Linked DNA regions of Alligator mississippiensis. Each later gene encodes a partner of the first gene's protein in a complex. Links are inferred from orthologs where the notes say so. Each region holds a gene or a part of one and is shown in the gene's direction. Other genes may lie near its edges.

Region 1 (6,983 bases):
CACCAGCACCCCAGGTAACTTGCCACATGCCAAAGTGCACGTGGCATGGGCATTCCCCAGGAACAACTAGTGGCACAAGGTGTGCCCTCGCTAGTTGTCCCCAGGGAATCAAACGTCCATGCACTTCTTGTCCTACTTTCAGATGATCCTAAGATTCTACTTTTTTTGGACCTTGCTTGCCCACCGTATCCAGAACTCCTTTTGCAATCAAGGAGACTTAAGTGTTTAAAAGTGCCATTTGCTCCATTGGGCCATATCATATTCTTCCAGATGTGACACTGAGAGCAAATCTGCTTGAATCAGGACTCCAGTATTGGGTCCCAAATTATTATACATTGAAAACCAGTCTACTTCTGTTTAGCTGACTTCAGTACATATATAGCATACACTTATTTTGCTGTATCCCCTTTAGATTTTTTTCAGTTATGCTTTATTTTGTGCTGTTATCAACATGGTTCTTTTCATAGACTTTAAAAGTCATGATTGAGAAAACAATTTATTTGTTTCTACGATCACTATTGTGTTAATCTTAATGCACCACATGGAATTAATGCAAAACCTAAAAAAAAGCATCTTATTCAAATAGATATATAGTTAAAAAAGAAATGCTTTTTCTATCTTTATATGTTACTTTAACGGGAAAGGAACCTCTCTCCTTTTCACCCACCATGCAGGAAGCAGCTATTTTGTTCATTTTTTTTCAGATGCAGAAAGTTATAAAATGGGGCCTACTTCCTGAAACTCTTAACCACAGCTTAACTTAAGCATTTGGGTGTTTGCAGGGGTTAGTCATTCTTTCTTGCTCTCATAGACACTTCATATTATTTTTTCCTTCTTACTCTGGAACAAAATATTGAAATGTGTCTGATTTTCATATAAAGTAAGGAGAAACATAGCATAGAGAAGGTAATTTTTATGATTCTTAGGAGCAATAGTTTATTGCCATTCAAAAACTGTGAATTCTGCAAGCAAAGGTTCTATTACAAATGAATTCAGTATGTTACATGTTGCAAAACTGGTGGGGAGGGGGGAAGAAATGTGCATCTGGTTTCTTTAATACCTAAGAACTCTTTGGTATGATACCGAAAGCCTGATTTCCCCCTCCCTCCACCTCTCCCTTCAAATTATACTTCCCATTAGCTTCAACCATGCAGTACTGAGTCATCAAATAGAAAAATTAACTTGAAAAAAAGAAGATACTGTTTTTGGAGATTTCATTGAAATTGTTAATTAAAAATGCAAATAATGTGTTGTACTGGAGCCAAGCTTTTAGAGCTTCTGATGCTCTTCGCCTGGCTCTTAGTATATTGTATAGTATTAGTATACTGTATTATGTATGTATATGTATTATTGTATAGTATTATACACACACACACACACACACACACACATATATATACTATTACATATTAGTATTTTTTATATTTTTTTTATACACACACACACACACACACACACACACACACACACACACACACTATTATATAAGGTTAGTCCAAAGTTTATTTTATTTTAAAACTATAAAAATTATGAAAAGGTCAAAACAAAACTGAAATGAAACTTTTCAGTGAACTAGGTCTCTGACTTATGGATCAAAACAACTTTGAATTATTATTAAAATTCATGAAAATGTGAGATTGACCTTTTTCTCTCTGTTTGGGATGAGAAAAATCTTAGAAAATTCTTGTATCTATGTGAGCTGGTTGTGCCTTTTGCCAGTTCATTTACTGCAAGCTCCAGCCATACCTCTTTCAAGGTTCAAGAAGACAGAGTCCTTTATTTGGAATCATTTTATAATAAAAGTTTGGGCTGCTCTGCCCACTCACTGTATTCAACAAAGGAAATAAAAGAAAATAACTGTGCCCTTACAGTTCAGGCCTCAAAGGTTCCTCGCCTTCTCTTAGTAGAAGCAACCGCCTCCAACCTGCAGTTTAAGGCAAAGATCTCCCTCTAAACTTTTTGTATTCCTTTTAGACAAAAGACTCCTTGTTGAGCCTTAATTTGGTGGCATTTGTTTATTAAGCTCCAAAATGAGATGGAAATTCAAAATGTATGTGGATCTTTTATTTTCATGTAGGCAGTCAGTAGGAAAACTTTGCCCCTCCTACCATTTGCCTTGTCATACCTTGTGACTGTTTCCTATGTATTCTGAGAACGGCTGGATGGTTTTGCCTGGTCGTGCTGAAATCATTAAGACTGTTGTCTTAATCTTGTTGTGCTGTTGTTATATAATGTCTTCTTTAGGTATATAAGTAATTCTGAACAGGAGGTTTAAAATATAGGAACATGCATAATCCCAAGGAACTGTAGTGGTTTGGAACTGAAAGAGACAAAAGAGCAAGTTACTTGGTAAAGAAAAGTTATAGGATGAACACATATATTACTGTGCTCTTAGTATACATATTGCACTGTGTGGGCAGTACTAGGAAAATGGTTGGAGATCATAGGAGAAAGAATGCTGCAGTAGGCAGAATTGAGTTTGGAAGTCACTAGGTAGGCCTCTTATTCCTAGCTGTGCTATATACCACTTGTGTGGGATCCTGAGTGAGCCACTTAGGCCCAAACTTCAAGCACCTGCTAGTTTTTAGAGTGACAAACACAAATATGAGGCCAACCCTATCTCCCCAAATGTACAAAATCTGATATATACAAGCTGTCCTTCCCCATTTTGTGTGTGCCAAGGCTCCTAATGGGCCTTACACACAGGGGGTTCCGGCTAGAGGGTCTTGCCCCTCTGCTCAGGGTCAGACTGAAATTTGGCATAGGGAAATTTTACCCACAAGTCAGATTGACATGGACTGTGAGGGTTTTTTTCTTCCTCTGTAGCTGGGGGTGTGGTCCTCTTCCTTGGATCTCTTCAGCTTTTTTAACAACTTTTCCAACAAGGACAGCGATGGCCGTGGTCACCTTGTTTAAAGATGGCAGGTTCAGGTGTTATGTTTTGTGGTTGCATCAAGGTTGACTGTAGTTTTGCTAAAAGGGTAGACAGTAGGATGGTTTAGATAGAGATGATCCTACTTCTGGCAGGGGGTTGGACAAGAAGATGGCTGGAGGTCCCTTCCCACCTTTTCTCTATGATTCTCTGATTATAGCAACTGCCCCATTCTCAAGGGACCTATATTTAGCCTCATGCACTCACAGGTGTTGCCTCAAGTGGTGCCCTCATTTCTCAGGCGTTTCTTGTGACGAGCAAAGAAAACAGCAAGAGAAAGGAAAACAAATATATTGCGACATAACTCGATGAGTCTCCCAAAGAGTACAACACCCATCGGTGTCATGACTCAGGCTATTCCTACGCAGCACAACACAAGCCTATTTAGTTTGGGTGGAGCACAGCGCTCATTTGGTTTTAGTGCTTCCGATACCAGATCCAGTGCATTTTGAGCTTGCTTGGGTACCGCAGCAGTGGTATGTGCATGTGCACCCTTAGCAGGGCATAACTGACTTCTGAGGAACTAAATTTAGCCTGCAAAAAACAGGAAAGGTCCTATATGTCTGTCCAGTTATTTTCCCCATCTTCCATAGAGCTATAATTGGCTTTTGCCTGATTCGCCTTTCACTGGGTTTGACCCTGTGTTTAAGACTACGTCTGCCTTAGCTTCCTCCCCACTCTGCAGACTTCCCACTGCTGTTGCTGCCCGGGAAGGCCCGGCCATGACAAACTCCCAGCGCCGCAAAAAACAGCTCCCAACAAACTGAACTTTCTAGGACTCCTGCTTTTCTTTGCAATGAAACCCCGGGAGCTGGTGCACTCCCTTGACTCCCGGACCTGGGGCTTTATTGACAGTGAAAACCGCACGGTCCGATAGTACCAGATTTGACGACGCAGCGGCCGGGCCAGACCAGACACCCCCCGGCCGGGGTCGCGGGCCTAGTTGAGGGCCGCGACAGTCCCGCGGAAGTCTCGCGAGAGCGGGAGGCCCCGCCCCCTCCCCCCGGCCGCGCTCCGCCTGCTGCCGCCGCCGCGGCCGGATCTGAGCGCGCCTGGCGGGCGGGGGCGCTCGGCCCTGCGCACTGCGCGATGTTTGTCCGCCATCGCGGCCGAGGAGGAGGAGGAGGAGGAGGCTGAGGGGGCCGCCGCCGCCGCTGCCGCTGGAGGAAGGGGCCTGCGCCGCCGCCGCCACCCGCCCCGCTCCGCCAGGGCCCGCAGTCCGGAGCGAAGGTCGCCGGAGCCCGGCCCGGGCCCACCCGCCCGCGCCCACAGGCGGCTCCGCGCCCGAAGATGTCGAACCTGAGCAAGGGGACGGGCAGCCGGAAGGACACCAAGATGCGGATCCGCGCCTTCCCCGTGAGTGCCCGGCTCGGCCCGGCCCGGCCCGGCCCGGTCGGGGGAGCGGCGGCCTCCGCGGGGTCCGGCTGTTACGAGCCCGGCGCGACCTGTCACGGCGCTCGAGCGGCCGCCGGAGGCCGGCACCGGCCCCCCCTCGCGCCGCGGCCCGGCCCGGCCCTTTCCGCGGGTGTGGGGGCACCGCCGCCAGGCTGCCCGGGGGGAGGTGAGGGGCCGCGACTGCCCGGGCCTAGAGGTGGGTGCCAGTACCGGCCTCCCCGGCCTGGGCCCGCGCCCGGCCTGGGCCCTCCCCTCCGCCGCTCTGACAGTTGTGCCCACTAAAGCGAGTGGGGCTGCTGCGCTGCAGCCTGCCCGCAGGCCTCTCTGTGCGGATGTGCCTGTGCCTGTGTGCCCGTGGGTCTGCGTCTGTGCGTGTGCCTGTGTGTACGTATACCTGTGCGTACCTGCACGCACCTACACATTAAAGAGGAGACTCCATTGACTTGAATTTCAAGCTTTAGGGGAGGGGTTGTGACCCTAGCCTAGATGGTGAGTGGCAAAGGGCCCCTAGGTGTTGCCTGCACACAGAAGTTGGAGCTCCCTGGTTGACCTCACTGCAGCAGCAAGTCTCATGCTGAGGAACATTTACTCGCCCCTAAGGCTTGCTGATTAAATAAAAGAGTTGTTTACATTGGCAGGCTGATGAAGTTCTGCTGAGGAGTCTGATTCAGCTCTAGCTTCTCTATTTTAGACTCGCTTTCTAATTATTGATAATTATATCAACTATAAATGTCAAAGGGGACCACTGCATCTGAGAAAGTTGGGTATCTCTGCTGAAGAATGGCTGGTGGTCACCAAAGAAATTATTTGCTTAATAAGTCATGCTGTTCAGATTTCTTGTTTTGTAGTGAAAAAAAGCAATTCCAAGCGGCCATGGCCGTTGTAAACAATTCATAGGGATACATCATAAAAAAAATTAGAAGTGGCAAAAATGTGACACTTAGATTGCAGCAGACTATGCCAAAGACAATGTACTACACAAGTTTCCTAACAATCTGCTCTGTTCAGCTATTAAAATCTCAGAATGCTTGTAACTAATTGTAAACTAATAGGGACGGGACATGATACTAAGCTAAGACTATTTTTTACATTAGCTGACGGTTCTTGTTACTGAGCATGTAAAGCTGCGCTTGTGGGTGAAGAATGTTCACACACAGATCAGTTCTCGCAAAAAATTGAGCATTGTCATCATTTTCCCCTTCAGAATGGTTCTTGTTAGAACATTGTTATAATTTCTCTTCTCTGCAGTTATTTGAAGAATGACTCCATTAAGATTCTTCACAAAAATTAACTTCCACCAAAGAAAAACTCTATTAAGTATACATAGATATTGGGACCTGCACATTTCCAAAGTAGAAGCTGACATCTTTTGACAGAACTTTTTTCAAGGCTCACTATTTAGAACTGATTTTGATTTCCAAAACCAAACTGGATCAGATAAAGGGGCTTGAAAGTGAAAAAAAGAATATGTACCCAAATAGTTGCTGTTGAGGGTTTTCTATCCTTACCTGTGTAATGTTAAAGTTACTACTTTGTGCAAAGATTTGTGTGTGTGTAACTTTACTTATGTGAGTAATCCAGTTGACTATTCATGTAAGTAAAACTATTTGTATTTTCAAGATTGGTATCTGTATTTAGAATTTACTTCATTTACCTTAAGCTACCAATCTTCACTGTTTTTACCACCTCTTATTCTGAGGCATCTCTGTTTGTGATGTCCAGTGTTGGTGCTCTGCTTGCCATTTAGGTGTCTTTATTACATCTCCCATTTCCTTTTTATTCCTTTCCTGCTTTTTTGATTTAAGTTTCTCAAATGGAAAGACTGCCTGCTTACTATTACATAATTTTATAAAGGTAACTACCAGTAGTGTGGTTACTGTCTAGTGCAGCAGTTCCCAAACTGTAGGTTGAAACCCTGAACGTGGGTGGCAACATCATCAGTGGATGGGATGGCAATAAACGTGCCTCCTGAGATTTCTGAGCCCAGTGGGATGCGGGGTGCAGCCAAGCCGGACCAGCTGTGGGCAGGAGCTTCCTCTGCGGCCCAGTGGACGGGACCCATTTTGGGAGTGCTGCATCACCATATCCGCCAAGGTGAGACACAGCAGCTGCAGTGGCATGGAGTTTTGCCCTCACTGCTGGCAGATAAGCCAGGGGTGCCTCACCTGGGCAGCTGTGGCAGTGCAGCACTCCCTCTCATACCTTGTCCTGCCTACTGGACCACGGGGTCCCTGGGGGGAGAGGGCAGGGAGCCCCAAGCCTGCCTACAATGGGCAGCCCACATCCCTGCCCACCCCCCGGCTCCTCTCCACAGGGTAGTGCTGCCTGGAGGGGGGGGGGGGGGGGCGGGGGCGGGGGCGGGTGCAGCTGGGCTCGTACTTCTCTCTGGCCACACCTGCTGTCGCCTCCTGTGGGTGGCTGCTGGGGGTTGGGGGGGCAGGGAGCTGTGGGTCCTGGCCCTGGGGCACTGTGGGGGTTGGGGAGTGAGGGGCACCTGGGGTTGTGGAGGCCTGGAGGCTAGGAGTGAGGGGGCATGCTGAGGAAATGGGGTCACACTGAGGAAAAGTTTGGGAAGCACTGGTCTAGTGCTAGTCCTGGCCCTATAACTTATTCAGTATTTTTTTTCTATAGTATACATGGGTGAATGATAAAGAAA
Region 2 (7,262 bases), on another chromosome or scaffold:
CCATATGTCCAGTTTGGGGCAAATATATAACCATTAGGGCAATCTTTTCTACAGAGAACACTTTTAGTAGCATCAGCATAGTGTTGATTTATTATTTGGTTTGTTTCACTTTCCTTTGGTCCATTTACAGGAACATGGACCTCCATCGCCTTTTCCTGAAGCATTTCACCCTGTTTAGGTATTTATTCACACACCTTATCTACCCCTTCCCCTCCACCCATATTTTGTGTTCCCACTGCTGCTAATTTTTACTTTGTTTACTCTCTAGTGTAACATGTTCCTGCGACGCTCCTTTTCAGATGACCCCGGTATAGTTGCAATATGGATTTAGGGAAGGCAGTTTGCATCTGTGCCGTGTTTGGCTGTGGGTGAGGACACTTGCTTTTATTTATTTTTTTTTAAATCAAGGTGTAGTAATGGTTTTGCAGCTTAGCTGTTCGTTGTTACCTTGTGCGAGCAGAGCAGTAACTTTTTTGCATTCTAAAATTCATAGCCAGGTTCCAATTGTGGCCATTCCTTGTCTTCATAATGTTCTAAATTTGAAGAGTTTGGGGGGTGGGGAGGAGTATCAGCATGACGCAAACCATTTAAACATAGAGCAAAGGGTTGATACTGCGTACTAGAATCCAGAAAAGTTGCATTTTTGTCAAGGTAATATGCAGGCTAGTGGTAAAGCAAGATTAACATAACTGTACATCTGCCGCTAGAGGGCAACATTCGCAGCTTAAAAAAGAAATTCATCTACCATCATTTTTTTTTCTTTTCTGCTGCAGCTGAGTCTAGGGTTACGCAGGATCTTTCCATGCTGCCTGTGTAGAAAGAGTACAGGACATTTGGAGATAAGTAAATGAGGCCTACATTCTTATCATTAAACTGAGTCAAAACCTTAAGGGTGCAGTAATGAATCCAGTGCGTTTATCTTTGACATTTAAGCTGCCAAAAACACATGGATCCCCAGATCTGCAAACAGCCTTATTGTGAATCCCTACTGGATTCTCACAAAGGGTGTCCTGCTAATTTGGGGCCTTACAAGGATATCCTAATCCTAGTAGGAGTTGTTTTGCTGAACATTTTACCTTGGTTTATCCTGGGAAAAAGACAAAAGATAGGCTGACTGCTCTAAATTACAGCAAATTTGTACAGTAGTACAAATTATATCTTTGGGTACTCAAAAGAAGTGATAAGCATGTTACAAAGGGAGTAAAAACATAAGATTTAGGTTTTGTTCTGGTTTTTTTCCACCTCAAATGTCTCTGATCTTTGATGCTTGAAGCTTTGGGCATTCAAACAGACCCATTCACACTTAGTACTGATCACTTTTGATTCCACTTGAAGTGCAGTGGAGCTGCTGGGGCTGAAGACTTCTGAAGATTAAGTCGAAGAGATCCCCTGCTGGGCTCCCCAGTATCAACTGGCTGGTTTCAATAGTTGCTTTTGAGCTGATGCTCCCTGCCCTAAAGTTTACAATCTAAGTGAGACCCATCAGACTTTCACCGATTTGATTCTTTACTGGTAGGGATCACAGATGCCAGAAGTTAGAGAGACTTTTCTAAATAAAAATACCCTGACGAGCAGCCAAGACTTGAAGATGCAGGCTTGGAATCGGTGCTACATGTTGAGTCAGAACGTGCCAACTTTACACGCATGCTTCAGGAAACCTCCAAACTCTTTGACTTGCTAATTACTTGGAACAGTCATGAGAAAATTCCCATCACGAAGCATGAGTGATTTCTGGATAGCGAGTAAAATATCTTCATTTTCATGCCCCTCAATCTTGTAGGAAGTAGCAGGCAAAGTTTGTGCCAGGCACGACTGTTTTACAAGGCTGCTATAAAGACAATCACTGCTTCCTTGACTGTATCTTTGTTCTAGCCCAGCACTTGCTACCCATCGAGTGCTCTAGTCTTGTCATTGGCACTAGACTAGGGTGCATGAGGTGAGGTCTTCTGTCAGTGGCCTTTAAACTGAGAGGCGAGTACCTTGTGAGTTAGTAGTCACTTGTGTAATACCTCTATGCTGCTCAGGGGCTTGGCACAGAACCTACCTGTGCTCCTTCTGTCATCAGTGAGGAGCTTTGCCATTTTGCATTCAAAGAGAAGGACAAGGGCTCTCATTTCACTACCGCTTTTAGTGTTGTTACTTTTGCTGTTTGCTTTTATGCCCTTACTAGCTTTGGGCTGTGTTCTGGGAGCATATGACTAAATGGGCACTAGTAGGATCTGAGTTAAAATCTTCCCACTGATCCCTTCCAAAGGGAACATCTGGGCAACTTTCTCCTCGGGGGTCTGCAGAATCCTGTATGAAATTCTGGTTGTGTTTGTCTATAAGGAAACAGGCAAAATTGTTTAAACTGTGGGACTAGATGGCAGGAGCCTTGGGTGCTATTCCCAGCCTTCCTTCATATACTATGTGACATTGGCTGACTTCATTTCCCTATGCCTAAGTTTAGAGTAGGGATGATAAAATCTAGTTTTACCTCTGTTATATTTGCACAGGTTCTTGGGTAAAAGGCACTGTAGAAGGACAATTTATTAAATTATTATCATGGATAAAATTTAAAAGCAATTGAACTTAGTTAAAAATGACTGAAGGTACCCAATAGAATGCCTCCTATTAAGGTGGAAGTTTAAAAGGCTAGGGTTATATAATTGTACAAAGGAGATGGAGTATTACATGGCTTGGCAAAGGCTTTTGGACAGTTCTGCACATCTCTTCCCACACTACAAGAGCGCTGAATGAATGGAAAAGCAAACAAGAAAGCAAATTCCCCTCTGTGCTCTGTACAATTAACCTTTGGAACTTGTTGCTACAGAACATGATGGGGGAAATAATAGCTTTGGAAAATTCATAGATGATTATAAGAATCACTCCAGCAGTTACACTAGCTGGAATAAAAATGGGAGGTGTTGTAAAAACCAGTGCTGGAGGGCTCAAACTGTGACTGCTACCATCTGGAGTCTAGAAGAAACTTTGATCAAATAATAGATAAGTTGGCCTGGCAGGATATGCATATCGTACGTAACTCTGAATGGATGAAATGTACACTATTGGTCTCTTGTTAGGAAATGATTAACAGCCAAAATTAGTGGACATACAGCATATACACACTCACTCTATAATAAACTGCTAGCGTCTCCAGTGCTCTACTAGAGTAACATTTAGCTAAGCTACAGGTAAAGTTTTGGCCTTGACTTCCGGTGTTGAAATACCTTGGCACTGTCAACCTATTTGACAAAGAAGCAACAGCCAAAAAGCATTGGGGGAAGCATTCTCCAAATGATCTCAATCGCTGCCTGTCACTGCAGTGTCTGGGGGTGTTTTCATGAAGACGGACCTTTGGAAAGCTGAACGCTGCCCTCTGAAAAGTGCGCGGGGAGGTAGTAAACCACGTTAGCCTGAAGTCCGGCCGAAGGCAGGGCAGAGTTGCACGTTGCACACTATTTCAGGGACGCGCATAATAAGCTCGTACGTCTCGGAGTTGGTTGCGCTTCACGCTTTGCCTTCTGTCTGCGACGCGAGCGTGCGTGGAGGAGCGGCGCTCGTGCCGGGGCGCGTGGTGCAGCCCCGCGACCCCCGTGCTTGCCTTGTACGCGGTGGAGCTGCACGATCCTGGGCCTGCTCCCGTGTTCCTGACCCGACTCTGGGGCCGAGGTGGTGCCCCCGGTCCCAGCAAAGCGCCCCGGTGGTCTCTGCGCCAGGGGCTCCACGCGATGGGACCCGACGGCACTTGGAAATACCGAGCAGGAGCAGAGTCCCCTTCCCAAGGGGACATGTGGGGAGCCTCGCGCTTCTTCGGCTTCCCACGTGAAATCCTGCCTGCATCCCCGCGTCTCTACGGCGAGGCCAAACCCACCCTTGACCCGTGTATCCATGTTGCCGGGGTCTGGGGCTGCTGTCGCGGCAGGCGGGGACGCGCCAGGCGGCCGCGGGCGAGGGGCCGGCCGGCGGCACGGTCCGAGCAGCCCGGGGGCGATGCAGGCGGGTTTGTGTTGGTTTTTAATTCGTGTTTTGGGCCAAATCAGTTCAGCTCAGTCCTTCGAGGCTGGGCCCGAGACGCTCCCCCAGCCCCGGCGGGCATCTTGCGGCCGAGGCTGCAGGCCGCGGGGGCCCGCTGCCCCTTCCTCCGGCGGCCCGGGCCCGCAGCCCGCCTCGCCGCCGCCGCCGGGGGGAGGGGTGCTCGGCGGCGTTGCCGGGAGACCGGGCGCGGTGGGGGGGGGTGGGCGGGGCTGCAGGGAGCGCTGGGTAAGGAGCCGCCGCCGCCGCTACTAGCGCCGCTGCCACCGCCGCCGCCGCCGTGCTGCTGCTGCAGGGGCCGGCCCGGCCATGCTGCTCGGCGCGCCCTGAGCGCCCGGCCCCGCGCCGACATGGACCAGGAGAGGTGCGTGACGGCGGGGGAGGTGTGTGTGTGTGTGCGTGTGCGTGTGTGCGCGCGGGTCACGGGGACTGCCCCCTCACCCCCCCCTCCCTGGGCAGCTGATCCCAGATCAGCTGCTGGGGTGTGTGTGGGGGTGTAGGCGGTGGCTGTGTGTGGTGTGTGTGGGGGAGGTGTGTGTGGGTCTGTGGGAATGTGTGTCTGTGGCGTCTCCGTGGGGGTGTGTGCGTGTCTCAGCGGTGTGGGGACGGGGAGATTTAGCCCCTTCCCCCCACTTTCAGATCCTTGCAGCGTGCGTGTGCAAGGAGACGTGAGCTGCAGCCGGGGACATGAGCCACAAACGGGGTTTTTTTTTTTTAAATTAAAACCCAAAGGAGCCCAGCAGTTTCAGGGGAGATGGAGCGCGGCTTCCCCTCCCGCGCGCTGCTCCGCGGCCGCCTGCTAGCCAGCGAGATGCCACCCGGGCACCGGGCGCAGCAGGCACAAGTTGATCCCGGTGACTCTTGCTGTCCCTCGGGGGCCACGGTTGGCTCTGAAGCTGGGGGGGGGGGTTCAGTGTGGACAGGGGCTTCTTGCCACCCCCTTCACCCAGATGTACGTTATTTTCTGCATCCTTCTGAGCCTGTGCAGCATCCTCGGCGAGGAGCTCCTCCATCTGCCGTGAGCTGCAATAACCCATTTAGTTTTTGCAGGGCATGGAACAGGGTTGCTGTACGAGCCCTTAGGATGCATTTATTAGCCCGGGCAAGGTGACGAGGAGCCCGAGGGGGGCTGGCAGGCCACGTGGCTTGACCTGCTGCGGCAGAGCCGCGAACTTCATGCCACCAGATCCGCGCCGCGAAACAATCCTGCGCTCTGCTTTCTTTGTTTTTTCCTCCCCCGCTTGTGTTTCTGCTGGTGGAGTTCAGTTCTGGCCCCACCGTCCGCTCGTTAGTGCTATTTGTAGTTAATGAACAAAAGTAGACCAAGTTTGCAAAGCGCCTGCCAGCCTATTTACACGTCCTCTGTAAGCAAAAACCAGTGACCCGTGCTTTATGACAGGCGGGGGAGACCCCAGTAGCTACGGGCTTGATTTTTATACGGTAAATCGGCCCTTAACTCCTTGTTTTCTGTACGGTGGCTAGAACAGCGCCTTGAACCTAGCACAAGTACCGAGCCTTGTTATTGCTGCTTGGGAACTTCATAGATACCAGAGGAATCTTAAATATTTACTGTGCTCTACCCAGCCTTTTTCCTCGGCTGTCCCTGTGACTTTCTTACGCCAGAGTCTTAACACCTTCCCGCTCAAAACCAAGCGTGAAGCTAGTCATTTCTGAAAACAGGATATGCCGAGTGCTTCCTTTTTGAGCTGTGCCTGTGACCTCCTGCATCTGGGGGCAGGGAAGCCTTTGCTGAAGGAAGCTGCCAACCTTTGCAGGTTGGAGAAAACTTTGCTTCTCCAGTGCCCTGTATCTGAAGTGAACTGGGGGGGTCAAACCCTGCTGTACTTTCTGGACCAGTTACTCTCCCTGTAGCCACTTTTTTGCCCAAATACCGAAAGGCGAGCTTCTACCCTCAGGTGACTCAAGGATCGCAACTGCTGTTTGTGTACTTACTTACTGCTCAAAATGCAACTTTCAGCCTGGATGTCCTGCTGTTTAATGCATCCTAGATGTAGTGTTTCCAGTCGGTGTTTAAATGGCCAGCTGCGGATGTTTCACCGTTAGCATCTTCGAATCGTATACTCGTTCTTTTCTAGATTCATGTCATTTCCTTCCAGTTCTTGCCATGAATCTAGTGGTGGAGAGAGTTGACAGGAGAGGAAGCTGGAGCCTTGTGCTTCTTTATCCCAGCATTTGACCTTACGGGCAAGGGATTGTTGTCATCATCACCGTTAATCACTTCTGTTACGGTAGTGTTCAAAAATCTCTGTTCAGTTTGGGGCCTGGTTGTCCAGGACACGGTAGGAACACAGCTGTCTTTAGAGTGACCCTTCCGATTTTTCTCAGCGTCATTTTAGACTGGCCTCAGGGAACGAAGAGGTGTCACAAGCTGTATGTCTGCTTAGCCTCTGAAAGTGAAGCATCTAATTGAAACTGCAGGGGGATTTAGGTCAGCGGAATATAATTACCCAAACTAACAAACTATGGCTGACGTTTAGGGCTGGGAGACGAGGCTCTTTAATGATCTGAACCAGTAACTTGGAGTTTTGCCCTCTCGGAGGAGACAGTTGAGTTATTCACAGGCTTCCCCATTCTACCAGAGCACGTCACAGAAACGCCACAAAAGCTGCATAGTGTGCGCTGAGAAACGCAATGAATAGGTCTTGAAATGATGCCGTCAGGTACTTGATCTCAGCGTGTCGGACGGTGAATGTATCAGGTTGGTGATAGGTTGTATTTTTTTTGGTGGCGGTTCTGCTGTTACTCTCATGCATGTGCTCAGAGGTTTGGCTGGAAGACTTTAAAAACCCAAATAAATAATTAAGGTCTCAGATATGACCTCTGTTAGGATGTGTGTGATGGGGGTAGGGGGTTGCCTCTGGAGTTTAAATGGATCCCTCTTTCCCTTTGTTAACTAACCTATTTTTAAATCAACTAAGAGGGCGAGACCTCAGATCGCTTCAGACCCAAGCTCGAGACCTGCCAGTACTCGTGTGTTACACATGTAAGCTGTTCAGCAGGGCCAGTTGCACGGGTACAAGTTGTGCATGTACATAAACGTATGCAGATTTGGGGCTTTGGTCTGAGTGGCTCGCACCTTGCAACCTACCTAGCTTACGTCAGAATTGCAGTTTTCTGCTCAGCGTTGATCTGACCTGGTTTTGGCAAAAGATCTGTGGGGTGTTTTTGGCAAAACTACACAGCGGTAATTGGTTTTAAAAAAATACAGATGCTCTTTGAGAAAATGA
Region 3 (6,822 bases), on another chromosome or scaffold:
GACAGACTTACGATGGGTCTCTGTTGTGGAGCTCTCCAAGCAACGTGCTTGCTGCCGCACTGCAGGGCATGTAGCAGCTATAAAGAGAAAGAGCTTGTGTAAAATCACCCATAACCACTCTCCTGCAAAAAAAACAAGGTTCAAGTCCCTTCTCTTCAGCAAGGAGTCTGTCTCCCTTCTGTTGCCTCCTCTTGGAGAGGTGAATCCCCTTCCCCTACCCAGCACACAGGAATGACATCTGGGAGCCCCCCTCAATATCAACAGAATCAACTTCATGAACCCAAGAGAAAGCCCCAGTGTGCTCTGCAGACAGGTACAAGTCACCATGGGTGAATACAGGATTTTGAAAAGGGTGGGGCAGGGTGCAAGGTGGTGCAGTGCATCATCACATATAGCCCAAACACATACTTCTCTCCAGTTAAAGAGAAACTTTTACAGGTTGACAAACTTGACAGACAGACATGGTGCTTTCCTAATATGTGAAGGGGGCTAGTATCATATTGTTGTGTTTAAGATCAAAGCAAAAACCAGCGTAGCTGAGAATGTACTGAGTTGCTAGATGATGGATCAAACATTAAAAAAAAAAACAAAAAAAAACAACACAGGAGGCAAAAAATCATGAGAAGACCCCAACTGTTAGCCTGGCTGGCATCATAGTTTCATAGTTGGTAGGGTCAGAAGGGACCCAAGCAGGTCATCAAGTCTGACCCCCTGCCATGGGCAGGAAAGAATGCTGGGGTCAAATGACCCTGACTAGGTGATTGTCTAGCCTCCTTCTGAAGATCCCCAGGGTGGGGGCAAGCACCACTTCTCTAGGAAGTTGGTTCCAGCTCCTAGCCACCCTGACTGTGAAATAGTGCCTCCTGATGTCTAGCCTGAACCTACTCTCAGCCAGCTTATGGCCGGTATTCCTTACAGCTCCCAGTAGTGCTTGGGGGAACAGGGACTCTCCCATTGCCTGCTGGTCCCCCTTGGCAAGTTTGCAGGTGGCCACCAGATCCCCCCTCAGGCTTCTTTTGTGTAGTCTGAACAGGTTCAGGTCCTGTAGTTTCTCCTCATAGGGCCTACCCTGCTGCCCCTGATCATGCAAGTAGTCCTCCTCTGGACCCTCTCTACGCTATCCAAATCCCTCCTGAAGTGCAGCGCCCAGAACTGGACGCAGTACTCCAACTGTGGCCTGACCAATGTCGCATAGAGGGGGAGGATCACCTGCTTGGACCTGCTCGTGATGCATCTGTGGATGCATGACAAGGTGTGGTTAGCCTTCCTGACTGCATCCCCACATTGGCAGCCCATGTTCATCTTGGAATCAATAATGACTCCAAGATCCTTTTCTGCCTCCATGCTGACGACAAGAGAGTTCCCCAGCCTGTAGGTATACTGCTGGTTCTTCCTCCCCAGGTGCAACACTTTGTACTTGTCCATATCGAAACCCATCCTATTCTCATCCGCCCACCTCTGTAACATGTCCAAATCTAGTTGTAGCCTGTCCCCCTCTTCTAACGTACTCACTTCTCCCCACATCTGGGTGTCATCTGCGAACTTGAACAAGGTGCTTTTCACCCCCCTCGTCCAAGTTGCCGATGAAGATATTCAATAGCGCAGGCCCGAGGACCAAGCCCTGGGGAACCCCACTGCCCATATCTCTACAGGTCAAAAATGACCCATCCAACACCACTCTCTGGGTGTGGCTCTCCAGCCAATTTGCGACCCATCTGACTGTGTAGGCATCAACACCACAGTCGCCTAATTTTTTAAATGAGGCTGGTGTAAGAGACAGTGTCAAAGGCCTTCCTAAAGTCCAGAAAGACTACGTTCACCATGACACCTGCTTTTGTGACCTGGTTGTAGAAGGCCACCAGGTTGGTGTGGCAGGACCTGCCTCTAATGAACCCACGTTGATTGCTGCTAAGCATAATCGCTCTTGCTGGTCCCTTGCAGATGTGCTCCTGGATAATTTTCTCAAAGAGCTTCTCCAAGACTAACAGGCCTATAGTTTCCTGGGTCCTCTTTCCTCCCTTTTTTGAAAAGGAGGACCACATTGGCCTTTTTCCAGTCCTCTGACACCTCACCAGAGCACCGTAAGTGCTCGTAAAGCTGTGCCAGGGGTCCCGCAATGACCTCTGCAAGTTCCCTCAGCACTCTGAGGTGGAGATTATCAGAATCTGCTGATCTGAACACGTCCAGTCCCTCCATCGTGTCTCTTGTTCAGATCTGTGAAACCAAATCTGGCCTCCACTGATAACTCTGAAACTCATGCTAAAGTGGGGCCTACACACAAAGTTAAAATACAAAATACTGATGCTAACTGCATAGTGCAAGAGGACGCGAGTTCATGGCAATGCCATCTGGGAAGCAATAATGAGGTATCCTTTCCAGCTTACCTTACTATATTCATGGTGATTACAAGCAGACTCCTAGTTGTCTGGCATGTAACCATGTGAAAGGTCTATCCTTGATTGGTAAATATTTCTCTTGCAATTAACTCATGTTTTGTACAGGAGTCATTCTCCATATATGATAGATGTCTTTTGATTTATTTCTGTTTTGTCTAGTGGTTCCCTTAATTTTCCAAAGACGCTCCCAAAAACCTTGTGTTTTTCCTGGGAGTTAATCAGTTTCTTGATATGTTCCAAACTTAGTAGAAATTGATCTCTCATCACTGAGAAAGGTCATTCATTCAAACTGGAACTTTCTGATAACCAATAACAAGCAGTTTGATCAACAGGATTTTCCTGTCAATTACTGCTTGGGACTCTCTTGATTTACACAACCAAAAGAATGCTTTGAAGATGCTGGACTAAGAGTATAACAACAAAGTGAAAACAGCTAATGGCAGGCACTTCAGGAATGAAAGATCTCTCTAACAAGAACCGCAGCTGCACCCCAGCTATCTCGAGAAGCCAGAAGAAACAGACCATCTCTCGTCATCTATTTGGTGAGAAATCATCACCTTATAGCTAATTACTGGCCTTTGTTTGGGTTTGGGTTCATTTGACTTTGAATACTTGTAGTAAATAAAGCCTTTTTATCATTCATCCACTCCCTAGGCTATTCCGGAATCCTAGTTTTTTATCAGCTCACACCACAAGCATCCGGGCAGCAACCCCGGGACTCCCTGGCCAGTCAGTTTAACATCCGAGTTTGCGCTGACAGCTTGTGCTCGGCCGCGACAGAAAAGAGAAGCGCTGCCAGGAGGGGCCCACGAGAAGCCAAAGAAAGGGCAGTGTGAGCGGGGCCAGGGGCGCACCGCCACCAAAAAGAGAGGGGCGGATACACTTGCGCAGAGGAGCAGGAGTCGGGGAATGACCCTGAGCCAGCGAGGCTGCGGCGCGTCCCAGCCGGGAGGTCTGACAGGAATAAAACGGAGAGGAGGGGAAGGGCGACTGCCCCACTACGCCCTCACCCCGGGCCTGCCTCCTCCCGTGGACTGCCCCACTCCGCCCTCCTCCCCCGGGGGCTCTGCCCTGGGCCCCGCCTCACCTCGGAGCCCAGCCCGGGCCAGGCCCCGCGCCGCCGCCGCCAACATCCCGGCCCGGCCCCGCACCGCACCGCAGGCACAGGCACACAAGGGCACGGACCGGAAGCGGAAGCTGTGCCGCGCGTTTCCCCGCGCGGCGGATCGGAAGTGTGGGGTCCGACGCGTTTTGGCTTCCCCCGGCGGCTTCCGGTGGCGGGGCCGGAAGTGGTGGGCGCGGATCGCAGCCGTGAGGTGCCTGGCGGGGGCGGCGGCTGCTGCAGCGCTGTGGGGTTCCCCCGGGCCCGGGCGGCGGCATGAAGGGAGGGGCTGCAGGTAGGAACCCGGGGCCCACCGCCGGGTCCGCCCTTTTGTCTCCTCGGCCCCTCAGCGGGCAGCGACTGGGCGTGGGGCCGGGGCCGTCAGAGGCGAGTGCCCGGACGGGCCCGCCCGGGAGGCTCCGAGACGCCTCAGAGGGCGGCTGTTACCGAGCCTGTAGAGGCGCGGAGCTCCCGCCGCGGCCCGGAGGAGGCTGCAGCTGATGCCTGGGCCGGGAGGAAGAGGTAGGAGCGGCAGGGAGGAGTCGCAGGTGCCCCCGGCGTCGGGTCTGCAGGAGTCGGACGCTGCTGTTCCCTCGCCACCCCCCCTCCCCCCCCCCCAGCCGAGTCGTTTCTATTCAAAGGGCCGATACAAGGGCTGCCCGGAGTTGTTCTGCCCGGGGGCTTCTGCTAAGGGGCCTGGCCCCCGCAGCGCCTGGCCACCATGAAGTCATGCATCACGTGATACGGTTGGCATCCCTCCCTCCCCGCTGGCTCTTTCCAACCTGCCCTTTGCTAGGGGGGAATTGTGTGCGCGATGCCTGTACTCCTGGTATCCCCGTCACATCCAGCTCTTTACTTTTTGTTTTGGAGAAGGTAAGATTAACAAGGGGGAATCTCATGCTTTAAGATGAAGGCAAGAGGTTTGTTGCTCTTAATTCCTGGTGGAGTTTGTTCTAGAGTTGGGTACCAGCCTTTGAGAGAACTGCCTCCTGCCCCAGTGAATGCGACTTCTATTGTAGAGCATTTTATGTTAGCCAAAAGGTATTGATTCATTCGCATTCCAGAGCTTTAGGGGATCTTGTCAGGTATGTTAAGCTCAGGCTGCTGAATTTACTGAAGATAAGGTACCAAGACCTTGAACTTGAATTGCTAGGCTAGTGTAGAGGACACAGTTGTGCTTGCAGTAGCTTCCCTGCAGAGGAGGAGAGTGCTGGTGTGTTCTTTGCTTATTGAAATTTCATATGAGATGGCTTCAGGGCCAGATGTGTGACACTGCTGCAGTTCAACCAGGAAGTCACAAAGGCATATGACCGAGGCCAGGTCATCAGTGATGGGATGGAGTTGTTTTTCCAAGCCTAGATGATAGTAAGTGTTGCTTGTGAATTTAGTTTTAGCAAAGAACCCAAGAATACTTCTAACCCTCTGGACTGAGCTGAGCAATTGAATGTGAGCCTTCAACTAGAGGAGACTGCACAGTGTTTACCAACTCCTTGGGTGAAATCTTGGTCCCACTGAAGTCATTAAATAGTGTTGGATTTGGAGTAATTTAGTCTTAATGATACTGACTGTCACAGGTAGGGCTGGAAATCTAGTCTGCTGTAGTATGGAAGAGTTTAGAGCAAGTTTAAACACACTTTTTAAAAATGAGACCATGCCCTACTCTGTTGAAAGGAAACTTCTGGGGTGCTGACACTAGAATTATCCAACAGCTTAGCAGGAAGTATATGAAGGAAGAGCAAGTAGCTTTTGCCCTTCTTAACAACAGCTCCTCTTTAGAGGAGCTGTTTTGCCAACTGCTGGGATTCCACGTGTAATCTTTGTTCTGTCAGAGAGAGACTACTCTGTCATGTCACTTCTCCCTGTCAGTGGGGGAGCGCACAGATAATTGCACCTTCTTAGTTGTTATGAGTAGTTCTTTGAATATGCTTCATTATCTAATCCATCTAGGTTGGGCATGGGCTCTTCAGAATGTGCTTCATATTTGACTCTACACAAACTGCATCCCATTCTTATACCTTTGGCAAGTTTCTCATCTGAGTGATTTTAGGACTTTGATAAAGTTTTGTAGGATTTTTTTCACCCTTTTATCAGTAGAAATAAGCTCCCTCTGCATGTTGGCTCCGTATGATGCTATTAACTGTAGCCTCTGCCCCTTGCCAATATATCACATCTCAGCTTTGTTTCTTCTGTACTACCTATAGACCTTTCATAGTATCTTTAATTTGTTGGTTTCTATAACAGGGTGTGGCCTGAGGCCCTCCTCAAGCTCATTGCTGTTCTCTAGGAATGACTTCCACCTGCGTGTCATAGTGGTGCCTGGTTTGTCTTAAATCAGAAGCAGTGCTGCTGGCTCTCCTTGAAGATTCCCAACTGCTGCAATATGGACTCTAACCTTTTCATAATCCTGAACATCTGTGTATATCATTACTCTGTATGTGTCTTGAGCTTCTCCGATTGAAGGTTCCCAACCAGGATGCCTGTGTATCCATGCTCCACTGGGCTGCCACTGTTGCATGCTCAGGTGCCTCTAAGAAAAGCCTTAAGGTCATTATTCTGGGTCATCTTTTCTAGGATGAAGCCCCCTAGTTCTCTCCAGGATGTATCCTCTGGGTCCTGCTGTCCTTGGTCCTGGGTGGTAAAGCACTCTATTAACATCTGCTGCTGGGTCAGCAGGGCTCATTGAACCTCAGCTTGTAACTGCCATCTCAGTGTTTCCTCTGTCGTATTCTGTTGCCCCTGATCACATGGAGCAGCAGGTCCCGATTCTTTTAGGCCTATTCTAGGGGTGCACCGATAAAGGTTTTTTGGGCTGATACCAATGGCCAATATCAGCCAATACTGAACGAATTGCCAGCATGCAGCCTGGCAGCTTGGCGAATAGCATCCAGCTGGTATGTCTGTTGGGGAGGGAAGGGGTGGAGGGGGGGCAGATTGAAGCCCCTGCAGTGAGTGAGGTAGTGGGGATGAGGCAGGGGCAGGTGCTGTCTAGCCAGGGAGGGGTGCAGGACAGAGTTGTGTGGCTTATCTGGGGGTGGGGGGGATCCCACCACTACACACATCCCTGGGGGAGCCATGGGGGGCATGTGGCTCCCAGTTCTGTGTGTGGGGCGAGGGTGGGTTGCCGCTACGGGCTGGGGCTGGGGGCATGCCAGGCTCTCCCTGGTGTGGGGGCTGGGCCAGGGCCGTGCTTGGGGCAGGCAGTGGCGGCATGGGGGGGGTGTGGGGTGGGCTACAGCCACCCCAGCATTCGCCATAGCCCCCCTCCCAGCGCCACTGCTGCCTGCCCCGAGCACTGCCCCAACCCAACCTCCCCACTGGGAAGAG
Region 4 (7,368 bases), on another chromosome or scaffold:
ACTGCCTACCTGAAGAGAGGAGAGGCTTTATTCTCCCCTCAAACATATCAGTACATGGAGCAACAGGAAATCATTGTTTTTTACTGGAAGCAAATGCTAAAAACCACAGAACTCAACGAATGCTGCGCCTGCTGCTCAGCCCTGTCAAAGCAGAGGCAGATCACACGCGAGTTCAGTGAGCATTCACACTCACTGTCATGGGCCTTAGGAATACTTAAGATTGTTATATATGGACAAATGGGTGGTGGGGGGGGGGTCTAGTATTACATTAAAATTAAAACATATGGCCAGTAGCTTTTCAGACTTGTCATACAGAGCTTTTCTTCCTCCTCCCTCTTGGGAGGTGATTGACTTAACACATAAAAGTCTTGCAGTTTCTTAGCACTTTCCCAGTGGGATGAGAATTAACATGTGGCAAAAGTATTACACATTCCCAGACATCATCCCCTTTGTAGTCTTAACTGTTCAAAAACCCCTCTGTACCTGGGGTGCTTCATCTGTCTGCTACAGCTAGCCAGTGTCTAGCAGCAGTTTTGACCAGCAGGCCTCTTCCAGCCTTGGCTGTCAGAGACTTTCTGACACCTTGTGCCTGTTAACATGGACAGGCAGGCAGCCCCCTTTTGCCTGAGCAAATGCAGTTCAAAGGAGCTCTCCTAGACCTAGTTGGCTGGAGTTCTGTGCTTTGCATGGTTAATCTGCTCAAGTGGCATGCTGGTCAGGCAGCTCCCTTGGCTAGTCCAGAAAGCGCCTGCGTGAGCCCATCCGGGAGCGGTTTGAACGGCGAATATCAAACTTGGAGTCCCGACACTTCTGGCAAACATAGACTTCCGGGACATTTGATTTGCGGATCTTGGCGCAGGAGAGGTGGATCCAGGTGTGACATTCATTGCACTCAATCATTGGCCGACCAGCAAAAGGCTTCATGCAGAAGCAGGTGACTAGGTCCCAGGAATCGTCATCTGGAAAGACAAAGAGCAAGGTAAAACTACCTGCCTCCATGTCGCTACTGCATCTCACCTGTATCTCAACTCTTCCCTCTTGGACATAACTAGATCTTGAGGTTTTGAAGGCTGATATTGTATGCAGGCCTCTCCAGGGCATGCTGGAAGCTGCAGTCTGCATTGCCACCTGCACTTTGCTCTTGTACAGAATCTCAGCAGTGCAAGAGGACTGCTGCCCCAGGAGAAGTGCTCGGCTCCAAAACCAGCTTCTGACCCGTGTCCAGCTTTACATGAAAATTCATCCCATGGAAAGGGCTCTAGCCTGAGCCTGGACACTGTAATTCAGGCCACTGGTCACTGAGCAGTAAAACTCTTCTCTGCCCACCTTCTTTTGAAAGAGCTAAGAGGCTTGTGCAAATGCTAATGAATTTAGCTCTCAGCCCCCTCTCCCAAAAGATAAGTCTGCATTATTCCAGATTCTACAAAAAGACTGTGCATGGGATCACTAACAGTCTGACCCACTGTCTCACAGAACATCTCCCACTATCCCGCCCCCCCAACCACATACCTGAATCCACCATGATGTCCTCATCATCTCCAGTGCCATCTTCATCCCGGAACACAACCTGCTTGCCCTGCCGGATGACTGTTCGCTTGCCCACACTGTGTATCTCCACAGCCTGCTCAGAGTTAGCAGCAGCGTAAGAGACATTCGAAGGACTATCAGAGTCCCACACCGAACAGTGGTCGGTCACGGACTGAGGGTCACCCTCAGATGAAGGGCTCATGGGGGTTTCTACATAAGAGTCCTCCACCTCGAGGTCCAGGAGCTTCTCCTCATATTCTTTCTCCACAGGCACTTCTGTTTCCCTTCTCTTCAGTTTTTTCTTCTTCCTGATTTTATCAATTTGCTTTCGTTCTGGCAGGAAACTGCTAGGCTTTGCTCGCTGGAACAGGGAAGCATATGGTTTTGTTCTCTTGAGCTGACTAAAGTTTTTTCTATTCTTGACTGGCAGGGAGACAGCAGAAGGGAGGTCATTGAATCGGGCATCCCAGCTATCACTGTCAATGGTCCCACCAGTGCTATTAGGAGGACTGGGGCTGCTCCTCAAGGGTGTCTCCTATAAAATATTAAGAGAAGAAAAGTAAGCATTGTTTTAGAGCTGATACCTATCCACCCTATAGTGTTTACCATTTTTTATTCTAGTACAGCCTAGTGTTTATGGGACTTCAGTCAAGTGCTGTGTGGCAACTTCGAAGAGTTAAAATTCCCACTCCCTTCCATATGCTTTGAAACCTAGGCCTCTGCCAGGAACTGCAGCCCAGGAGAAGCCAAACAACCTCAAAATGAGTAAGCTCTGAACTCTATGGCCCCAGAGGTCTGGGAAGGGGCACAGACACTACATACTTCAAATACCTTAAATGTAACCTTGTGGCATTGTACAAAGAGTGCCCACCACCCAAATAATTCAAGACTGGATTTTTACACTTTGTTCAGCCTCTTCAAGCCAAACAAGGTTTGAGACATTTCACTTTTGATTAAAGAGAAACACATACATATCATAAAAGACCAACTGTTGTACCTTTAAAACTTTCTAAACGTAAGGCTATTTGCTGGCAGTTTCTTTTGGACTATCACATTTCAGTGCGTTACATTTGACCCAGTAAAAGCTTCCACAGAACCCAACCCCTTTAAACACAAAAATTAGCGTTTAGGTATTTATGTTGCATAGATCATCACATTATCTTAGTTTTCTGAGCTGCTGCCAGGAAGACCTTTTCCAACACATGCAGGAAAACCTTTAGCCTCCCACCAGTAATAGCTACATTGGCATGTACCTGTGATAAAATAAGGGGCTACACATTACCTCTTGGGGGTAGGGGATGTAACCAGCATACGCCAAGACAAATGTGCAAAACTTGTTAAAATCTTCCACGGTTCTGTGTCTCTTGGAGCCTGGGGAAAAATCCTGTTAAAAAAATAGTGACCAGGACATTAACTTGAGATTTTGGGGAAGGGCAGTGGGAACAACTTTGTGCAACTAATTGTCCATCTCTGAGAAAGTAATAATAGTAATAGCTCTTATTCTACCATTGCTCTTGTGTAAGTGCATCTTTCATGAGCCAAAATGCAAGGCACTATGAAGCCATCCTGTAATTTAGCACATTTATCTGGTCTCTCGGCCACTATCAAATTCTTGGGTGTTTCTAGCTCTTCTTCCAGCTGTTTCCACATCTGTCCCCAGGGTGGCTTCTAACACCTTCAGGGTCTAGTACTGTATGGCATCACTTTCCTAAAAACTGGTACTGAAGACAGTGAAGAAGCTAAACAGTTAGCAAAATGTAGCTGGTCAGCTAGTGTGGAGCCCGTCTCTCCTAATGCAACCAAGGAGTTCAACTCGGGGATTGCTGTTCTCTTCCTAGTGCAAAGTCTCCATCATGTCTCCTACCCAGACCTCAAAGCTGCTGGAAACGGCACCATAACTGCACATGCAGCCTCTGCTAGGACACAAGGAGCTTCTTCGGGGCTTGCACGGACACCCGGTCTCGAGACCCCGGCGCACCATCTAGCACCCAGGCGGTACAATGCCTGCCCCTACCCGCGACATGCAGCGGAGCGGGGGATGTGGGCGCACCCCATCGCCATCCACGTTCAAAACTAAACTGCCAAGCGCCAAGGCAGGCTCCGGGCACCACCCGCCGCTGCCCCCGCCCCAGCCCTGCGCACGGAGCCCCGGGAAGCCATGCCCGTGTCGCGAGCGCCGCTGGAGGCGGCCACAGGCTCCGCCCCGCCGGTCCGTGATGGAGGAGGGCCCGATCCGGGGCGGGGTGGGGCGCCCCGGGACAGGGGCGCGCCGGGGTGCGGGGCCGAGGGGAGGCCGGAGCCGGGCGCTGCAGTCCGCATCGGAGCCGGGGCCGTGCGGGGCGCGGAGCCCCCCGGGGACCCGCGCGGGGGTGGAGCCTCGGTGCGGGCCCGGATCCGGGGGGCGGGGCTCTCCGGGGGCCGCGGCCGGGCCGGGGCTCGGGGAAGGGCGGCGGCCGGGGAAGGAGAAGAAGGGCTCGGGCTCTCAGCGTCCGCACCCGGGTCTCCGCGGGGCCCCGCCGGGGCGGCGGCGTGGCCCGCTCCGCCAGGCGGCGGGGGCACGGGCCGGGGTGTGGAGCGGGGTCCCGGACCTGGCCCGGCGGGGCGGCGCGGGCAGCGGGGCGGGCAGCGGGGGCCCGGCTTACCTCGGGGGCGAAGGGGGAGGCGCAGGAGTCGGAGTCCATGTCCCGGCGCAGCCGCCCGCCAGCGGGGCAGGGGCAGGGGCAGGGCAGGGCGGGTCCGGGTCTGGGTCTGGCTCCGGGGCCTGGCGCGGGGTGCCGCCAACGAGCCGGGTCCAGCGCCGCCCGGCAGAGCCGCCACCCTGGAACCGCACGGTACCGGCGGGAGGAGCGGCGAGCAGAGGGGCGGGGCGGTGCCGTGCGGGCGCGCGGGGGCTGCCGGGAGCTGTAGTCCAGCCGCGAGCGGCCCCGCGGAGCTCGGCGGGCGCGCGGCGGCTGCCGGGAGCTGTGGTCCTTGCGCGCGGCGGCTGCCGGGAGGCGCAGTCCGTGGAGAACGACGGCTCCCGGCGGGGCCCGCGCGCCACAGAGCGGCCGGCCGAGGGGTGCGAGGCGGCGGCGAGCGGTGAGGTGGGCTCGGAGCGGCCTCCTGGGCGCGGCTCGCGCTCCTTGCAGAGGGGCAGGGGCTGGTCTGCGGGTTTCACGGGGAGGCCGGGGCCGCCCCATCCCCACGCAGGCTCCTCGGTGCGCCCGGGCCCGCGGCCCTTGTCCAGCGCGTCACGCGACCGAGCCCCGGCAGCGAGCCCGGCCGCGGGCCACGAAGCCGAGCTGGGGCCTGGAGCACGGCACAGCCCTGAGCCGTGCGCGGGCGGGGCCATGGCACCCACTGTCCCGGGCTGCGCGGCCCGCGAGCATCGCGCTTGCCTGCCCCGCCCGGGATGACTGTCCTAATAAAGAACGAAGAGGTGTAAGATGGGGCAGCGGGGCTGACGAGGAACCCGCGGATTGGGAAGCTGTTTTCCAAACGGTCTGGCTTCATCTTCTTCACCCTTTCTCGGTAGTCATATCCTCTGTGCCTTGAAGTGGCAGAGCTGCTCCACGTGCGGAGAAAGGTGTACCTGAAGCCATTGCCTATTCAGAAAAAGGAGAGGGTAGAGAAGAGGCATGTGTCAGAAACATGTGCTTGATTTCAGCTCACAGTCAATAGATCTAAGTTTAGTTTCTGCAACTTTGGCAGCATCCCTCAAAACGTTTACATGCAGTTTTATTTTGCATAGGAGATGAATCACATTAGTGTAGTGCTGAAATTATGTTTGATGATGGGAAGGCACTGACTGAATCACATGGCATGCATCATTCAAATTACATGAATTCTGAGCTCTCAGCTTACATGATTGTAGCTTGCATTTCTGGGCCAGTGTAGCTTTCTTGCCACATATTGTGTTATAGAAGTAATATGTCATCACTCATTTAAAGCTGGGAGTGCTGTGGTTAATAGATGTATTAGCACTGGCAAGGAATGGTATTGCCTTGTAACTGTGTTTTCTGTATATTTGTGTATTTATTTGCCTTACCTGATATGGGTATTGTGTGCCAAGACTCTAGTAAGTAACATTTGAATTTGTCAAAGAACGAACGGAGGCAGTGTGTGCATCCTGAGTCTTGAACAATAATCAGTGTACAGACATTGGTAAAGAATGCACTACTGTATCAGGGTACTTTCAAAGAACATCTTAATTTGGAAGTAAAATATGGAAGTATTTATGTAAAAGGAAGCTTATTCCTTCTGAGGAATGACAAAGCCCCCCCCTTTTTAAAGAAATGCAGGATTTTGCTTCTTGTTTTTTACAGATACATGCCCAGGCTGTAGCCCTGTAAGTACTGCACCAAGCCATAGTGGGCAGAGAATGAGAGATTCTGTTTGACTGCTTTTGGTCAATTATGTGCTATAACCGTCTTAAATCCAATATTATGTGCAAGGCCCAGCTAAGGCAGGGATTGGCGACCTTTTTGGGCAGAGTGCCAAAAACACTGCAACCTTGACTTGTAAGAAGTTGGAGTGCCAGGGGTGGACAGCGGTAGAGCTGTGAGAGGTCTGATTCTTGTTGTGGCAGTACAGCCTTGGCCCCTTCCCTGCCGCCACCCCTGAGATGCACATGCACCTGCCATGGGCAATGAGCCAGGCTGGGGCTCTGTGAGACTCTATGGACCCCTGTGCAGCTGCTGGCAGCCTCCCTGCTGCCTGGTGTGAGCAGCCCCATAGCAGGCAGGAGGTTGCAAGCAACTGCATCCCCAACCCAGCTTGTTGCCAGTACCAGGTTTATGCACACCGGGGGGGAGGGGGGGGGGAGTTGTAAGGTGTCCGATTCTTATTGTGGCAATGCAGCCCTGGCCCCTTCCCCACCCCCCACCTCCATCCCCATCCCCCAAAGGCATGCATACACTCACCGCCTGCAGTGAGCCAGGCTGGGGCTCCATGGGCCCAGAGGCACGCATACCAAACATAATGCCTTCACATGCCACATTCTGGCATGCATGCCAAGGGATGCCAACCCCTGAGCTCAGGTTCATTGTTGCTGACAGCTTTTCTTACAGTTGTATCTGGAGCTGGATTTAGAACAGACAGAATTCTAAACAGAAACCTCATATGTACTCTTTGTTAAAAAAAAATTAATTGAGCAGTTCACATTTAGTATCTCCGTGCTGGCTGGCAAAAAAGGAGCTCATTTTCAGTAATTGTGTCCAATGATGACAGGATAAAAACTAAGCATCATTTCCTTGTTCCTATGTTGGCATTATCTGCAGAAAGGTGAATGATCATTTCAGCTGTGGATACTGAATTTCCCTCTGCCCATTATGGGATGGGAGGAAGGCAACAGTTCTTGTGGAACTGGATTTGGGCAAAGTGCAGACATAGCAAAACTCCTGTGTTCCAGCAGACCCCACAAGTGCTTTAGCACTCTGTGTGTCTGCATCATTTACTGATCATGTGTGTGCAGTTATAGACAGCTCTGGACCTAGGATCTACTTGTTGCTAGATCATGGTGGTTCAGATGGTATCTTCCTTTGATCTGTGTATTTTCTTAAGGTGATAAAGTGAAATAAGAATGAGCATAGGAAGGCATAAATCAGTTCCACGTTCATGGGAAAATGAAGTTACTCAATACGGGGTGTTATATGGTTACAGGAACGCTACTGAACAATAAATAGCCTTTCCTCTTTGACATTGCTCTTTTTCCAAATGAGGTTGTTCAGCCATGTTGCTGCTCTTAGAAGAAAGAGTGCAGGTTCTTTGAGAGTAATTGATAGTATATCTCTTTTGGGTAATGTTGTGAGAGGCTTGCACTCACTGGTGTGTTTTTTAAGTACTTTGGGCTTTTTCAGAACG

What was found.
Region 2: the proteins of CUL3 (region 1) and KLHL3 are in contact, whole or in part, in a crystal structure (PDB 4HXI), measured with the Homo sapiens proteins. The link is inferred for Alligator mississippiensis from reciprocal best matches to the Homo sapiens genes CUL3 and KLHL3. Residues at the interface, in NP_003581.1 of Homo sapiens: Ile44, Asn49, Ser50, Gly51, Leu52, Ser53, Phe54, Glu55, Leu57, Tyr58, Arg59, Tyr62, Thr63, Leu66, Lys68, Met118, Asp121, Ile122, Met124, Tyr125, Arg128, Val129, Gln133; in NP_059111.2 of Homo sapiens: Pro73, Tyr74, Ala77, Met78, Asp82, Met83, Ser84, Glu85, Glu92, Ile93, Lys94, Asp95, Pro125, Ser128, Leu129, Gln131, Met133, Arg136, Asp160, Val161, His162, Thr163, Thr165.
Region 3: CUL3 (region 1) and KBTBD4 share a complex: the UniProt entries of both Homo sapiens proteins name them as parts of the BCR(KBTBD4) E3 ubiquitin ligase complex. The link is inferred for Alligator mississippiensis from reciprocal best matches to the Homo sapiens genes CUL3 and KBTBD4.
Region 4: CUL3 (region 1) and KLHL21 share a complex: the UniProt entries of both Homo sapiens proteins name them as parts of the BCR(KLHL21) E3 ubiquitin ligase complex. The link is inferred for Alligator mississippiensis from reciprocal best matches to the Homo sapiens genes CUL3 and KLHL21.

What each region holds. Positions count from the first base shown.
Region 1 is NC_081830.1:51,714,462-51,721,444, reverse strand, and holds the start of CUL3 (cullin-3), read left to right. Parts: upstream 1-3,966; 5' UTR 3,967-4,222; coding exon 4,223-4,288; intron 4,289-6,983. UniProt on the Homo sapiens protein: Core component of multiple cullin-RING-based BCR (BTB-CUL3-RBX1) E3 ubiquitin-protein ligase complexes which mediate the ubiquitination and subsequent proteasomal degradation of target proteins.
Region 2 is NC_081832.1:72,935,449-72,942,710, reverse strand, and holds the start of KLHL3 (kelch-like protein 3), read left to right. Parts: upstream 1-4,254; 5' UTR 4,255-4,364; coding exon 4,365-4,378; intron 4,379-7,262. UniProt on the Homo sapiens protein: Substrate-specific adapter of a BCR (BTB-CUL3-RBX1) E3 ubiquitin ligase complex that acts as a regulator of ion transport in the distal nephron.
Region 3 is NC_081825.1:228,510,924-228,517,745, reverse strand, and holds the start of KBTBD4 (kelch repeat and BTB domain-containing protein 4), read left to right. Parts: upstream 1-3,817; 5' UTR 3,818-3,998; coding exon 3,999-4,020; intron 4,021-6,822. Other genes in the region: NDUFS3 (NADH dehydrogenase [ubiquinone] iron-sulfur protein 3, mitochondrial), read right to left, coding at 12-77, 3,484-3,529. UniProt on the Homo sapiens protein: Substrate-specific adapter of a BCR (BTB-CUL3-RBX1) E3 ubiquitin ligase complex which targets CoREST corepressor complex components RCOR1, KDM1A/LSD1 and HDAC2 for proteasomal degradation.
Region 4 is NC_081836.1:18,625,861-18,633,228, reverse strand, and holds the start of KLHL21 (kelch-like protein 21), read left to right. Parts: upstream 1-4,364; 5' UTR 4,365-4,610; intron 4,611-7,368. Other genes in the region: PHF13 (PHD finger protein 13), read right to left, coding at 733-959, 1,510-2,062, 2,810-2,911, 4,170-4,208. UniProt on the Homo sapiens protein: Substrate-specific adapter of a BCR (BTB-CUL3-RBX1) E3 ubiquitin-protein ligase complex required for efficient chromosome alignment and cytokinesis.